Linked DNA regions of Callithrix jacchus. Each later gene encodes a partner of the first gene's protein in a complex. Links are inferred from orthologs where the notes say so. Each region holds a gene or a part of one and is shown on either strand. Other genes may lie near its edges.

Region 1 (4,252 bases):
TCCCTTAGACATTCAAACCTAGGCCCTTGACAACCCCCCTGGGCTTTAACTCTTAACTGCTGGGAAACCCAGAGCTGTCACTTTTCAGGCAAACTGGGTTGGCTGGAGAGACCTCAACTGCCCAGTTCACAGTTAAACAGAATCAAAGACTGTCAACAGGGCAACAGAAGAAAAAAAAAATTCTTAAAATAAGTCTCTCTAAAATCCGTGCTTTTCACCTTAACCATGCACTTAAACACTCTATGTATTTCTCTTTTTCGCTCTTTTCTTCTCAATCTTGAGAACTCAGAAAACATTCAACTGACCGTTTTCAGTCATTAGAAGTATCTCAAAAATGAGAATTAAAAAAAAAAAAATCTTTACTTTCCAGCGTCAGTATTCCTCTTCCCCTAAGCCCACCTCTTTCATACAGTGCTTTGCCTTCTGTTTTTTGTAAACATGTGCACATTTATCTAGAGTTTCAAAATGAAGACATAAAGAAAGCATGTCATGTAAATTAACCATTAGTAACTATTGGTGTGATCAGTGTATTTTGTTCTTGCTTGTAAATGGTCCAGTACATAAGCAGTTCATTTCCAAAGGCAATTGGTTCCTTGAGCCAGCAAATGGAATGCTCAAGATAAGAAAGAAAATGCATGCTTCTCAAACATCAACTGACAGCACAATATTCTTTTCTTACAGAAATGTTTGAGAAACATATTTATTATACAATTATACATGCAAATATCCAGAACTCAAGGGCAGTCATTTTTCAAGTCTGTTACTGCAAAGCTCTTTGCTCTTCCTATCCCAATAGCTCAGGGTTCTGTCGCTCTGGTTTGTATGTGAACCTCGATCACTTGATTCTGAACATCCTCTCAGAGATAATAATCAATAAATTCCAATTTGAGAAATGGCATTTTCTTGCTAACTTCGTGTTAAAGCAGAATGATTTTTTTTTTCAAGACTAGAGGGAAATTTTTCCTGTATGCTTACCGTTTTCCTTCTAGCCTAGATTCCAAAGATATTAAACTGCTATCTGTTTTAAACAAAAGGCTTCTATTTGTTGCCATGGGAGTAATTGAGAGGCTACATTGGTTTTCAGCAGTAACTATTGTGAATTCAGGCCTACATCTGGGTTGCCTCATTAAACAAAAGATACCGGTCGCTGTCAACAACCACACAGTACAACGCTCCCCTATCCCTCATCTTTATCTAGAAGGAATGGTGCAGACGAGAAACACGCCTGTCACCATCCACTGGCCAAGAAACTCTTCTAGGCTCCCTCCTTTCGAAGGTTTGGTGGCTAGAGAACAGCTCTTGTGTGACACATTTGGGCTGGCCCTCCCGCCCCGCCCCGCCCCCAATACACAGGCCCTTTCTTTGGAGGGCCAACCACTTGGTTTCCTCGTCATCACTGCTCTGGGAATCCAGTTGCGAGTCTGCCCGCCGTTCCCCCATTCCCTCCTGACCCCAGAGGACACTGATCTTGGATGCACACCAGCCACCCCGGCGCAGGCCATCCCCCAATGTGTCCCGGGCTCGGCTCGCCACCCGCTGGGCCACACACACGGCTCCCCACGCCACCAACCCACGGGAAGCCGCGGTCACGGCACTAGAAATTCAATCCCTCTGCCCACCTTTCCACCCCTGCGCCTCTGGCCAGAGTGATCTGCCATTTAGCAGATGCACAGCAGATAAGGCACAGCCCTCAGGGATACGAAAAGGAACAAGCCGAGGCACCGGGCAGGGCAGCCCGACCCCTCTGCTGCGTGCGTGTGTGTACGCGCCCGCGCACCCGCGCGGGTGAAGGCAGTGGCCGGGGGCGCGCCCGGGAGGGTAGGGGCAAGTCCCGGGCGCCGGGGGGCGGGGGACGCCGAGGGCAGCTGCCCCGCGGGGCCGGGGGTGGTGGGCGGGGGTTCGCAGAGGCCCGGCGGGAGGACCCGCGGCGGTCGGCCCCGGGCGGTACTCACCGAGCAGCAGCAGCTTGAGCTCCCGGCGGGCGTCCCGTTTGTCCCTGCGGAGCTGCCGCTCGATCTCATCGTTGATCCTCCGGGCTTCCTTGGCCTCCTCACTCAGGCAGCACGCCATGATGGACTCCAGAGTCATTCTTCCAAAGTGCCTCCGCTGCAGCCCCACCGGCACCCCCTGCTCACAGCGCGCACACACACCCTCCCGCCCTCGCTCCCCCGAGGCAGCGGTGGCCGCCGAGTCCCCGCCGCCCGGGCGCGCGTCCGGTACGAGCTCCCGGAACCGCCGCGACTGCCGCGGCCAGGGCCGGGGCCACCAGGTGGGCCGGGGGCGCGGCGGGAGCGAACTGCCTGGGCCGACTGGAGAAGCGAGGCGGGCGCGGGAGGCGGGCGCTGGCTCGGGGGGCGAGTGAGGGAAGGCCGCCGCGCCCGGCCTCGCTCAGACGCCCGCGCCTCCTTCCCCGAGAATGGGCGTCCCGCCTCGCCCCCCGCGCCGCCGCCGCCGCCGCCTGCGAGGCTCCCCTACGCCGTGCGCCTGGCGGCGAGAGCTCATCCACCGGGGTGTCCCCGCAGCGAGCGGCCGCCGACGGCTTCCCGCGCCCGGCGCGCCCGCTCCTCGCCGCCGCCTGACACGGCTCCCGGGCGCCCTCGGCCCTGTCCGCGCCCACCGCCCGGCTCGCGCGCAGACCCGGTTCCCGGCCCGCCCGGCAGCCGCGCGCTCCTCCGCCCCCGCCTCCGCCTCCGCCTTCGCCAGACGCCCGCCCCCTGCCCCGATTGCCAGGCGCGGAGCGGCTGCTCAGTGCGCGCCCTCCCCCTCGCCACACACACACATTTTCTTCTTTCTCTGAACTGGAGCACAGATCCGGGAGGGAAGAGGCGGCGGCGAAAGGAGGAGGGGGAGGAGGCGGAGGGGACAGGCGCGGGAGGAGGGGAGCCGGGAGGCGGTGCCGCCCGGCCCCTCCCGGAACGCTTTCCTGGGCTCGCGGCCGCCGCGGCGCGCCTCCCAGTGCGGCTCTCGCCTCGCCCGCGCGGCTACCCGGTTGGGCCGGCCCCCTCGGGCTCTGCTGGTGCCTCCTGCTTTCGCACCCTGGGCAGAGGCCGCGAGCGCAGCGGTCACGGCTGCCCCCAGCCGGGGCCGGGCCGGGTCGCCGCCGCGCGGCCGGAGGCAGCGGCCGCCGCTGCTTGTCAGAGCCGCCGCTTACCTCCGGCTGCCGGCCGGCCGGGCGTGGTAAGGCGGGAATATGGCGGCCTCTGCCTGCCTCAGCCCACCGGCCCGGGAGCGCGGCCGCGGCCCCTGCTGAAGTCGCGGTAGGCGGCCCCGCGGAGTCCCGCACGCGCTCCCCGCGGCGCCGGCGCTGGCGTCCGTCGCTCCAGGGCCCTGCCCGTCTGCTCCGCGGGGACGCTCCTCAGCCGCTTCTATGTTTCCCGTTCCTATTTCTAAAACGCCATTCGGTTAGAAACTCTCGCACATCACCTCTGACCCCGGTGCAGTCTTATAAAATAAGATCCTCTCTACTGTGGGGAGGCGACTGAGGAAGGGAAGGAACTGGCACCGGTGTCCGGAGGCGTAGCGGGGGGGGGGAAATTCACAGGAGAAGCAGTTCACAAAGTAACGGGAGATAGAAATCTAAATCCTGAGCAGAGAAAGGAAGCTGCCCAAGTTTCCAAAAGCCCCCAGATAGGTTCCAGCTTTCCATGCCTTTGTTTTTTCGGTTGTTGGTTTTTTGTTGTATTGGGGCGTTTTGGGAAGTTGTTTTTGATTTTGTTTTACAAGTCTTCTTGTTTCTGACAGGGCACACCATGTTTAGCTGCCAAGTAATCGAATTTACCCTTCTACACTGAATTATGGATGACTTCCGGGAAAATGTAAAATAATGTGGAATAAATGGAAAGAATGAAATAGAATAGAAACTAAGATGACCTCAGCAAAATGGCATTCTATTTTTTTTATTTTGGTTTGCCATATTTGAGGCAGTTAACTGTCGTATGCATATTTCATTGTGATCGTCTACTGATAAATAGCACACGAAAATAATCTTGCTCAATCAGGTTTTATTTGGTTTAATAGCTACAGGAGGTGAAACTCATGTTACTTCCTGCCTTAAAGGAACCTGAGGTCTTCAAAGAAAATGGGCTTTTATGAAGAAAACCACCTTTTCACGTTTCATGTGTTCTCTGCAGTGTCCCTAGTGCAACCTGCTGATCCGGAGTGTAAAGTACAGTTCATGACTTTGCTTTTGCTACAGATCAAGAATTCACATAGGCTTCTTAGACAACAGGTGTGTTAACGTCCTTCTTTCCTT
Region 2 (3,513 bases), on another chromosome or scaffold:
TTTCTGGCAAGGGGTTGCCACAGTGGTGTGCAACAGTGGGAGAGACCCGACAGAAGGATATAATTGTAAAATCCTGTGCCCCATCACCTGCCCCAAAAGAATCCAGAAAGGAAGTTCAGGAGGCAGTCAAATAATTTATTATTTCTTGAAGAGTCTGGGTAAGGAAGGAGAGGGCAGGGCCACCATCCTTAACTGGAAAGGGGTGAAGAGACTTTTCAGTGCAGAACAGCCTGTTGGTCAGAGGTATGAGATTATGCCTGATGGTAGTTTCAGTGCTGATTGGGAAAGAGGATTGTGAGGTCAAACTGGGAGCATCCCAGAGTCAGTCCTGTGCCAGGCTCCATAGTCCCTAAAACGATCAATGCCATTAATCTATGTGTGTGAGAAGCAGGTAAGCCCTTGTCAGAGTTCCCACTGTGTAGAAACAGTTCACTGCTAGGGATGCTGTGTCTAAGACGCCTGCCATGTTTCTATGGGCAAGGCTCAGTCCCATATCAGAGGTGTGCCTCCTTTTTTGAGTAGGCTCCATTCTTATTTCTCTTGTGTCAGGTAAGCTACCTTTTCCTGTGCTTGCGGTTAGTCCATGCTACTGGGTGTCGGTCTCCTGCATCAGTTGTGGTTTGTGTTTTCAGTGTCTGGAAAGGGTCAGTGCTTGTCATTTTCCCTGCCTCAGCCCCCAGAGCCCCTCCACTCCTCAGCCAGGCCCCAGTGTGCTGATGGTGGTGTAGCTCAGCCTGGAGAGCGAAGCAATAGAGGGAGTGGGAGGGTCCTCATCGGGAAGAGGCCTGGGGCGAGCCCGTGGAGGCCGGGGGCAGCAGCGAGCGCACGTTTCCAGGCAGGCCTGGCGAAAGCGACGGTGCATGAAGCAGTAGACCAGGGGGTTGACACAGGCCGAGGCATAGCTCAGCAAGTGAATGAAGGAGATGGGAGCACCTGAGAGGGCTCGGTGTGCACCTGGGCCATCAAAGGCGCGCCACGTGTTGGCACTATAAACTGGCAACCAACATAGAAAAAAAAGCATGACAATCACCAGCAACATTCGCACCACGCGCTTCTTAGCCAGCAGCTTGGCCTGGGTGGGCCGGGAGCTGTGTCCCGGCCCAGTAGTGGGTGCCACCAGCGCGGAGAGCTCCAGGGCAGGCCGGGAACGTGGAAGCTGCACGTAGCAGCCATCGCTGTCTTCGCCACCCGCACCAGTCTCAGGCCGGCAACGCCCATTCTGGTGAACAGCACCTGAGCACAAAGGGTGGGCAGTCAGAGAAAAAGGCAAGAGTCCTCCCAATCTTCAACCCAATCCCCACCTGAGCTCGCAGGAGCCATAACCCCATTTCCGGCTTTCTCCTTCCATTATTTCAGCCCCACCCACTCCAGCAGGCCCCGTTGCCCTCCAAAGCTCCGCCTCTCCAGGATTTCGCTCACCTGGTCCAGTCCCTCCAGGCAGCCCGCCTTGGCTTCGGACCCTGCTTTGGCTCTCGCTGTCACTGTCGCTGTCAAAGCGAAGCCCTAAGTAGAGCTCGCGGGAGATAAGCCCGTAGGCCACCGCCATCACCACACCCGGGATGAAGAACAAGAGCAGGAGCAGCAGTACGGACCTGGAGGCAACACAGATCACTCGGGTTTCTGTCCAGCTACAATCGCAGATGGAGAAAGGGCCAAGGACTGGTGTTTCTAGGGCTGTGGCCAGGTACAGGTAGGATTTGGGGGTGCCGCTGGGAAGGGAGAGAGAACTGGGGAGGGGACCCAAACTGGAATTCCAGGGCGGTGGATGCAGAATAGGAATTGGCATGGTAATTCTCCGAGCAGCTGGAGGAAGATTCTGAGCAATGGTCTTAAGCATCTAGTGGGGGTGAGAAGGGAAATCCCAGGACAGGTTGTGGGCAAGCTCACCAGGTCTGGCGGACCCGTGCACTGGGCCAGCGATGCACACACTGCAGCACACGAGGTCCCACTGGTTGCACGATAGTGTACACGGGGTAGGGCACCATGAGCAGTCCGGACAGCAGCCACGTGGCTATGATCACGCGAGCTGCATGGGAGCGTGTCTGCCACACTCGCGCCTGCAGTGGTCGGCAGATGGCGCTGTAGCGCTCCAGTGCGATGGCCACGAGGCTTAGCGTGGACACACTCACAGACACCCCTAAGCAGAGGAAGAGAGAGGAAGGAGTCACCCAGGAAACTTGCACTACACAACCATCAGTGGGACTTCCTCATACCCCTCCCTGCCAACTGGGGAAGACTCCTACATCCACAAGGGCTTTAGGAGGGGAGAGTGGCAAGTAGGGATGGCTTGGTTGTCTCACCCACCCATGAGGTAGGAAACAGCCTTGCAGATGACTGTGCCAAAGACGAATGTGCCCATGAGATTGGGCAGGAGAGTGAAGGGCATGCAAGCCACAGCCAGCAGGAGGTCGCTGACTGCCAGTGAGAGGAGGAAGGCATTGGTGACGGTCCTCAGGCGGCGACTCAGTCCCAGGACCACGATGATGAGCACATTTCCTCCAACACTCATCAGGAAGATCACTGCATAAAGAGTGATTCTAACGGCCAGCTCCAATTCTGGGTAAGAAAAGGGAGAGGTGGCAGTAGAGGTCAGCCTTCATTCAGCCAAACCCCTCTCCATCCTTCTTATCCCCAACCCTCACTACCCTGCCAAATGCCTACATTCCCTACTCATGAACTGCTCAGTAAATGGTGAACTTGAATCCTTTAGCCTTCTAACCCCTTGAACTTTGGTTAACTTGGCCCAACTCTACCTTTCATTAAGAAAGCCTGTCTCTCCTCAAGGTTTGTTCCAAATCTTTCCTTCCCTTTGCAGCCAAATTTGTTATGAGGCTATTTGTGTCTTCTCATTCACTCTTCAATCCATTACAATATTCTGTACCCTATCACTGCATACTTCTTCCCAAGTACACTTACCTTTAACTGCTAAATTCAAAGGTCCTTTCTTAGCCTATTCTATTTGACCTTCCTGGAGTATTCTACACTGTTGGCAACCCGCTACCTTTTGAACCACATCAGATCATGTCTTTATTCTCTAAAAACAAAAGGAAAAATCCCTTCACTTACTCTCTACTGTCTGCAACCCCTCAGAATGTCATCAAGATCCTCCCAGAAGGGACCTCTTCCTCCCCACCCTCACTGCCCCCAGCTCCCGGCAATATACTAATTTAAGCAAGCCACTGGATGACTCAGTTTCTTGAATGCATCAATTGCACTTGTGATTCCCTCCCTGCTCAAGTTGGTTTCTCAGCCCAGAATACTCTTTCACCAACTCTCCCCAGAACTTCCACCCCCTATCACAAGCTTATTTTCTGTATCTGGTGAATTCCTATTCCTCCCTTGTTGGTCAAGACTCAAATTGACAGCTATTTCTTCTGTAAGGCCCTTCTGGACACCTCATTTAGTATTACTCTCCCCTTTCTCTAACCCATGCATGTTTCTTGCACAATGATTAAAGCCTATTTTACTTTCTGCCTTGTATTTTAATTCTTTCCAAACATTCATTCTCACTCT
Region 3 (3,513 bases), on another chromosome or scaffold:
GATGAGATGCTACAATTTCACTGTTACCCAATATGTAGGATGGGTTATCCCTGGGAAGTTCTCCTATAGACAGTGAATCTTATCTACAGTCTGCAGTTTTTAAATAGCTTCCACCTCAGAGGGTGGATTCTCAATTATAAACATGTCATGAAATTTTCCAGGTGGAGATTTGGGGTTCCAGATGTCTGTCCACTAATGATACCTTTGTCTAACTTATGACACATTTTCACTGACTGAAGTCTAAATTGATCAGCTATACTGCCATCTGTTTAACCCTTGTTGGATCATCCAGGTTATCTTTCACCCCATTAATACATAGAATTGAATTCTCTGATGGTACACGCCTCCTCTCCACTCCAGCAGGGAGCTATTTCCCGTACAGTTCTCCATAACCCTAATGTCCTCTCCCAGACTATGTACATCATGGGCTTAAACATTGATAAACGAATAACACAGGGAATTCTCATAAATTCAATCACCGATGTTCCTGGAATATTTGACGGAGTTATAAGTTAAATCTAATTTTTTCTTAGAAACATTACCTCAACTCTAGCATGCAGTAGATACTCAACAAGTCTTAGAATCTAGTCTGTTATTTTCTGTACTTTTTGTGGAAATGACCACAAGAATACCATCTATATTTAACTATAAATTACATATTAATGACTACTCAGATTCAAGATGACATTTTCCAGCCTTCTTTTCTACTAAGTGTGGCCCTGTGACTAAATCCTGAAGTGATGTAAGTGACAGTGTTGTGGGATGGCTTCTGGGAACCTTCAAGAAAGCACTTGCAAGTATTCTTTGCTCTCTTCTTCATCCCTTCCTCTGTCTTGCCTCCTGGAAACCAAATGCCTCTATTAGGGACTATAAGGCAAAGACAAACATGTCAGAACCACCAGGTAGAAAGAGTATAGGTGTCCAACATTGTGGAGGGCTGTATCACTCTGGACCACATCCCTAGACATTTATACAAGAGAGAAATATAGTTCAGTCTTGTTGGAGTTGTTCTTTTGAGATTTTTGGCACTCTCAGCCTACCAGAAACCAAGAAGGAAAGCTACTAAACCTATTTTGTGATGATAATATAATCTTGATATCAAAAACATGTAGAATAGTACAAGCAAAGACAATTATAGGACAATATTGTTTATATATGTAGACGCTCAAGTCCTAAGTAAAACATCAGCAAACATAGACCAGCAATGTGTAAAATAATATCAGATCCTAGAAGACTTAGCAGTGAATGTACAGGAATGTAATGATAGCCAAACATTACAAAGTTCATAAATGTAGCTTATTACATTAGTAGAATAAAAGATCAAAGTCCTACAATGTCAGAAGACACGGGGAAAATATCCATTAACATTCAACACCGTCTCAGGTTAAAAACAAAAATTTCATTAATATACGAGTAGAAGGGAATCTCGCTTTACCGTGATAGAGGATGCAGCAACTATAATTTTTTTTGCATTTTAATTTATTTTAAGTTCTGGGGTACATGTGCAGAATGTGCAAATTTGTTACATAGGTAAACGTGTGCCATGGTGCTACACCTACCAACCCATCACCTGGGTATTAAGCCCAGCATGCACTAGTTCTTTTCCCTAATGCATTCCATCCCCCTCCCTTCCCTGACAGCTCCAGTGAATGTTGTTCCCCACCCTGTGTCCATGTGATCCTGTTGTTCAACTCCCACTTAGAATTGGGAACATGAGGTGTTTGGTTTTCTTTTCCTGCAAAATGTAATTTGTAACATAAAGACAAAAACCACATGATTATCTCAATAGATGCAGAAGAAACCATCAATAAAATTCAACATCCCTTCATGTTAAAAGCTCTCAATAAACTAGGTATTGAAGGAACATACTTCAAAATAATCAGAGCCATTTATGACAAACCCATCGCCAGTATCATACTGAATAGGCAAAAACTGGAAGTATTGTCCTTGAAAACTGCCACAAGACAAGGATGCCTGTCTCATCACTTTTATTCAACATAGTATTGGTAGTTCTGGCCAGGGAAATCGGGCAAGAGAAAGAAATAAAGGATATTCAAATAGGAAGAGAGGAAGCAATCATTATTCTTTAATGGGAAAAATTGAGAAGCATTCCTAGTGTGGCTTTGGGAAACAGGGCTCATAGTTTTCATTCAGTGGTCAAATGGGTTGGCAACTCAAGAAGGATCGAGAGCACATCTCTGGGGATACCTTGTCACCATATCTGAAGATGCTGATGTAAGTTGTCCTTTTCCTTCCCCGCCCCTTCCTATCCCTGGGTCATAAGAGTCTTTGCAAACATCAGGTCCAATATTGCCTTTCCATTCCTCATTCCTTAAAGATAATGTTAATCATCTTCTATTGAAGTTTTCTAAAACTCCTTTGTCAAGTCAGTCATTTCTGCTAGAAACAATGACAGTTATTTTACTGCTTTGCATATTTGTAAGACATCTTACAAAGTAGTAGGTAGAGGGGAGACTCATTAAATAGACATTATGGACATAGTAAGAGCCCCACTATGTATGAAGCGTTACTCCAGGCTTTGTACCTGGGGTTACAAAAATGAGTGAGAAGTGCTCTCTACCTTTAAGATACATATGCTGTTGCATATGTATGGGTTTTCTTTGTGGCAACCATATTTTCTGCAAATAATTACAGTTTTATTTGGTCCCTTTCAAAATGTATGCACTTATTTTTCTCATCTGATTCCACTAACTAGGCCCTCCAATGCAGAATTAAAGAGTAGTGGTGATAGTGGACATCCTTGTTTTAAAGGGAAATGCATTTAATATTTTCTCTATACAGATGATGTTTACTATAAGAGGTTTTTGGTACCCTTTTTCGAGTTAAATATATGCTTTTTCTTTATCTATTGATCATATGATGTTTTTCTCCATTAATTTGTTAATTTAGTGAATAATACTTATAGATTTTTCTAATATTAGATTTTTTTGCATTCCTGGGCATAAACCCAACTCAGTCATGATGCATTTTCCTTCTTATGTCCTTTGAGTCTGTTGGCTAGTGTTTTAGGATTTTTCATTCTGTTTTCAAGTAGTAGAAAGTAGTGGTACTCTTCCCAGATCATCATAGAATCCCATGAGTGTGTGTGTATGTATGTGTGCATGCACATGTGTGTGTTGGCCTGTGCACACTTGCCCATAGGCATCTGTCCCTTTCACAGAGATCAGAACCAAGGACTTCTGGACCTCCCTTTGCCTGGAACGGGCCCAGTATCTGCCACACTGATTCTTGTGCCCCAACTCCAACTCCTCCCTCTTAAATGTTTTGAAGAGGCTGTAGGGCTGGCCCCTGACCCTAGAGCTCTAGCCAGTCACTTTTGTGCTGTTGGTCCTCCAGGTGCCCTTCTCCAACTGCAGTCGAGACTGCCTGGCCGGGACCAGGAAAGGGATCATTGAGGGGGAGCCCACCTGCTGCTTTGAGTGTGTGGAGTGTCCTGATGGGGAGTACAGCGACGAGACAGGTAAAAGAACCCTTCTTGTGCACTGTGCAGGG
Region 4 (3,513 bases), on another chromosome or scaffold:
CCAGTCTGGTCCCCAAGGCATGGCTCACCCTGGTGGTCATCAGGAATGTAGTCCGAGGCCTCGGTGTAGATGAGTAGGGCCGGCAGACACAGCGGTTGGTTGGCCTCGTTCCGCAGGCAGACATAGTGGTACCCTGGGCGGGCAGGAGGCCAATGTTGGGTTGCTGGGTCCGGCGGAGCCCCTACCCACTGCCCATTGGGCTGCCCAGAGCCCACCAAGGCCTCACCGGAGCGGATGGCAGAGACAGGCAGGATCCGGTGCCCCACAAATTTGCCGCCCTCCTCAAAGGCTGCGATGCGAAGCGAAGCCAGCGTGGGCAGCACCACCTGCGGGCCAGACCGGAGCTGAGCCACGGGGCTGACCCCGAACCACTGTGGCCACTGTGGCCACCAGGCCACAGCTAACCACAGCCGTCAAAGCCTAACAGCAGACCTTTAGCTGAGCTGACCCACTGTCCATCAGTCACCATCACCATGAGCTGAGGGCTGACCCCACCTCCACAGCCTGGCCTAGTAGATGACTACAGCTATCAGCACCCCGTGGCAAGACGACAGGCAACCAGGCCCCTAGGGCCCCTACAGACAGCTCTGGTCATCTCCAATTTAGAAACGGAGTGAGCCACGAGTAGGAAGCTGCAAACACACCACCCAGGTTGGGAGCAGAGGCTGCATCCATGCGGGGCTGTGGGAGGTGTAGAAGAGCGGACGTGAGCTTGGGGTTGTGACCTCAGCTCCTGCCTTGCAGATAGGGCAGGCTCTGTCCACTCCTTGCAGGGGACACAAGACCTCTAGCTGGCACTCCCCCACCCCCATCTCACCTTCTCACCCTCGTCTCTTCCCCTGAGGAGGACAGGGAGCCTGACACTGGGAAAGGCAGGTCCTGGCAGACCCCGGGCGCCCCCCACTTTCTGATCCCCAGTCACTAACAGCCTGTCTGGTTCCTGTTCTCCCACCTGAGAGCCGGGGCAGTCGGGTCTGGATCTGCCTGTGCCTGCGTGGGCGAGGGCGCCCGGCTCACCTTGGGGAAGGCAAACGGCTCCTCGTCCCACACAGGGTTGAAGGAGTTCCCCTGAGAGGTCCGGGTGCGGTACTTGCGCCGCGTGTCAACAGGGAGGCCAAACATGTCCACCTCCACATAGATGCCCACCTTCCTGTCGGACAGGAACTGCCCCGAGATCACCTGGGGAGCAGGGAGGGTGAGGCCGCTGCGAGAGTCCTGCCCCAAGGACACCCCCGGCCTGAGCCCTCCCAGACCCCACCTTGACCCGCAAGGCATTGGCTACAATGCCATCCACGATGACTTCAGTGAAGGGGTCGAAGGACTTGTCCGGCCGCCGCATGAACTCTGGCTTGAGCAGGTACCCGCTGCGCCCGTTGTACTCGAACACGCCCGCGTTAAGCTGCATCGCCACATCTGGGGCAGCGGGGCCAAGTCAAGCAGGGCAGGCATCAGGCGGGACAGTGCCATGTGGGGGAACAGGAGATCATCAGGGGTCAGATGGCATCCAAGGCCCAGGGTCAGGGGTGGGTTCAAATGGCATCGGGGTCCAGATCCGGGGCAGATCAGACAGGGGAGGGGTCTGGCGTGTCAAAGGCAGGAGGCAGGGTGAGTCGGGGGCTGGGTTCGCCTGGAATCTGGGATTAGACAGGGTCATAAATCCATTTAGGCAAGACCAGCAGCATCGCGGGTCAGAGTCAGCAAGACTGAGGGTGAGGGTCAAGACGGAGCCCAGGGCTCACCCAGGGTCTGGAAGTTGAGTGCAACAAGCTGGCACCCCACGTTCCAGAAGAGCTGGGGCATATAGTTGGAGGAGTCCACACGGGTGCCCTTGGGGTAGATGCGGCTGAGCTGCTGCTTGTTGTATCTGAGGTTGGCGGTCAGGGGCCACACGGGTGCCAGGGCCCACCCTGTCAGCCTCCACCTCCTGCCTCAGCCAGGTGCTCCTGTGACCCCCCACATCCAGCCCCTCCGTTTCTCAGCCTCACCATCCCCTTGAGACTGCCTGGACCTGCCCAAGCCCTAGGCCAGGGTGCACGGGGGCCACAGGAGGACCAGCAGCCTGTGCAGGAGGCGCACGCGGGGACAGGACACTCCACCCTGGCCTGCCCGCCCACGGTGCCTTGAAAGGATACTCCACAAACTCCATGGGGCTCTTGGTTAGCTGCTCCATGGCCTTGGTCTCCACGAAGGACGACATCTCGAAGCATTTGTTCCTCTCTGTGGGGTGAGCCAGGAGAGGGCGTCAGGCCTGGCAGGGATAAGCTGGGCAAGCTCCCACACCAGCCGCCCACGCCTACTCACTTCGAGCAGCCTCAAAAGACTTGAACTTGACAGGCTCAATGTAGTTGACAAGCGTGGACATCTCCTCGGTGGCATTGACCTCGCTGCTGGCTGTGCCCTGTGGGCCCCAACCCAGGGTCAGCAGTGCCACTCCCACCACAGGGGACAGCCCCTCACCTGCCCCCCATGAAAGAGGCGCTGACCCTCTTCCCATCACTACACATGCACCGCTGCTGGTGCCCACACTCTTCTCCCCAGGGTCCCACTGATGCGCCCTGGACGCCACCCAGCCACTCCTCTTCTCCCTGATCCTCAGAGACTGGAGCCCGTCACCCCCACGCCCAGGGGTTCAGTTACATCCATTCCCAGCCCGTCTCCAGTCCCCACCTTGCCGCCTCCTCTCAGGTGGCTCACAGGACCCTCAAACTCAGCCCTTCCAATGGTGACTTCTGGGCACCCCTCACCACACCTTCCCTTCCTCTGGGCTCCTCTCGGATCTGACCTCTTATGACAGCCAGACTGACTTTTTTTTTTTTAAGACAGAGTCTTGCTCTTTCGTCTTTCAGGATGGAGTGCAATGGTGCAATCTCACTGCAGCCTCCGCTTCCTCCCCGGCTCAAGCAATTTTCCTGCCTCAGCCTCCCAAGTAGCTGGGACTACAGGCGCCCGCCATCTTGACAGGCTAATTTATGTATTTGTAGTAGAGACGGGGTTTCACCATGTTGGCCAGGCTGGTCTTGAACTCCCAACCTCAGGCAAGCCTCCCACCTCGGCCTCCCAAAGTGCTAGGATTACAGGCGTGAGCCCCTCACTTGGCCTGTGTAGGTGTTACAATTGTCATTACTTTTGCTGAGTCATTTGGGAGTAAACTGCAGACATCATGCCCTTTACCCGTAAATACATGAGCATGCATGGACATTCTCTTAGGTAACTCCAGTACAATATTCAGTTCGGGAAACAGACATTAACGTGCGATCTAATATGCAGCCCCTCTTTAAACTTCACTAGTTCCCCAGTAATTGTCTTTATAGCAATATCTGTTTGGTTTGGGTTTTGAGACACGGTCTCCCTGGCTGGAGTGCAGTGGCACAATCTCAGCTCACTGCAACCTCCACCTCCCAGGTTCAAGCAATTCTTATGCCTCTGCCTCCCAAGTAGCTGGGCTTAGAGGTATGAGCCACCACACCCGGCTCAGACTGAGTTTTTCTGTACCACTCCTCACAGCTCCTCAAC

Evidence for each region.
Region 2: the proteins of GNAQ (region 1) and CCKBR are in contact, whole or in part, in a cryo-EM structure (PDB 7F8W), measured with the Homo sapiens proteins. The link is inferred for Callithrix jacchus from reciprocal best matches to the Homo sapiens genes GNAQ and CCKBR. Residues at the interface, in NP_002063.2 of Homo sapiens: Arg30, Arg34, Asp35, Arg37, Arg38, Leu40, Ser198, Val199, Phe341, Lys345, Asp346, Ile348, Leu349, Gln350, Asn352, Leu353, Lys354, Glu355, Tyr356, Asn357, Leu358, Val359; in NP_795344.1 of Homo sapiens: Thr87, Val88, Thr89, Asn90, Glu151, Arg152, Ala155, Ile156, Pro159, Leu160, Ala162, Arg163, Val164, Trp165, Gln166, Thr167, Ile241, Leu245, Gly248, Leu249, Val331, Leu335, His394, Arg396, Phe397.
Region 3: the proteins of GNAQ (region 1) and CASR are in contact, whole or in part, in a cryo-EM structure (PDB 8SZG), measured with the Homo sapiens proteins. The link is inferred for Callithrix jacchus from reciprocal best matches to the Homo sapiens genes GNAQ and CASR. Residues at the interface, in NP_002063.2 of Homo sapiens: His63, Leu196, Gln197, Ser198, Ile323, Tyr325, Ile337, Arg338, Phe339, Phe341, Ala342, Lys345, Asp346, Ile348, Leu349, Gln350, Leu351, Asn352, Leu353, Glu355, Tyr356, Leu358, Val359; in NP_000379.3 of Homo sapiens: Lys644, Ala645, Asn647, Arg701, Val702, Leu704, Val705, Phe706, Ala708, Lys709, Ile710, Pro711, Thr712, Phe714, Phe801, Arg873, Thr876, Ala877, His879, Ala880, Phe881, Val883, Ala884, Arg886, Ala887, Thr888, Leu889.
Region 4: the proteins of GNAQ (region 1) and PLCB3 are in contact, whole or in part, in a cryo-EM structure (PDB 8UQO), measured with the Homo sapiens proteins. The link is inferred for Callithrix jacchus from reciprocal best matches to the Homo sapiens genes GNAQ and PLCB3. Residues at the interface, in NP_002063.2 of Homo sapiens: Pro185, Thr186, Thr187, Ile189, Glu191, Pro193, Arg202, Gln209, Arg210, Ser211, Glu212, Arg213, Arg214, Lys215, Trp216, Ile217, His218, Val240, Glu241, Glu245, Glu249, Glu250, Ala253, Leu254, Arg256, Thr257, Ile258, Thr260, Tyr261; in NP_000923.1 of Homo sapiens: Pro257, Arg258, Leu259, Asn260, Glu261, Val262, Leu263, Arg707, Asp709, Lys710, Ile719, Asp721, Gly722, Ile723, Val724, Ala725, Ser845, Asp846, Tyr847, Ile848, Pro849, His852, Tyr855, Ala856, Ala858, Leu859, Ile860, Asn861, Pro862, Ile863.

What each region holds. Positions count from the first base shown.
Region 1 is NC_133502.1:104,909,256-104,913,507, reverse strand, and holds the start of GNAQ (guanine nucleotide-binding protein G(q) subunit alpha), read right to left. Parts: upstream 2,801-4,252; 5' UTR 2,089-2,800; coding exon 1,953-2,088; intron 1-1,952.
Region 2 is NC_133511.1:71,937,187-71,940,699, reverse strand, and holds the end of CCKBR (gastrin/cholecystokinin type B receptor), read right to left. Parts: intron 2,557-3,513; coding exon 2,305-2,556; intron 2,138-2,304; coding exon 1,888-2,137; intron 1,593-1,887; coding exon 1,420-1,592; intron 1,234-1,419; coding exon 695-1,233; 3' UTR 115-694; downstream 1-114. UniProt on the Homo sapiens protein: Receptor for gastrin and cholecystokinin. The CCK-B receptors occur throughout the central nervous system where they modulate anxiety, analgesia, arousal, and neuroleptic activity.
Region 3 is NC_133516.1:80,726,738-80,730,250, reverse strand, and holds part of CASR (extracellular calcium-sensing receptor), read left to right. Parts: intron 1-3,357; coding exon 3,358-3,481; intron 3,482-3,513. UniProt on the Homo sapiens protein: G-protein-coupled receptor that senses changes in the extracellular concentration of calcium ions and plays a key role in maintaining calcium homeostasis.
Region 4 is NC_133511.1:121,319,175-121,322,687, reverse strand, and holds part of PLCB3 (1-phosphatidylinositol 4,5-bisphosphate phosphodiesterase beta-3), read right to left. Parts: intron 2,399-3,513; coding exon 2,302-2,398; intron 2,218-2,301; coding exon 2,133-2,217; intron 1,865-2,132; coding exon 1,740-1,864; intron 1,414-1,739; coding exon 1,259-1,413; intron 1,180-1,258; coding exon 1,018-1,179; intron 327-1,017; coding exon 227-326; intron 134-226; coding exon 29-133; intron 1-28. UniProt on the Homo sapiens protein: Catalyzes the production of the second messenger molecules diacylglycerol (DAG) and inositol 1,4,5-trisphosphate (IP3).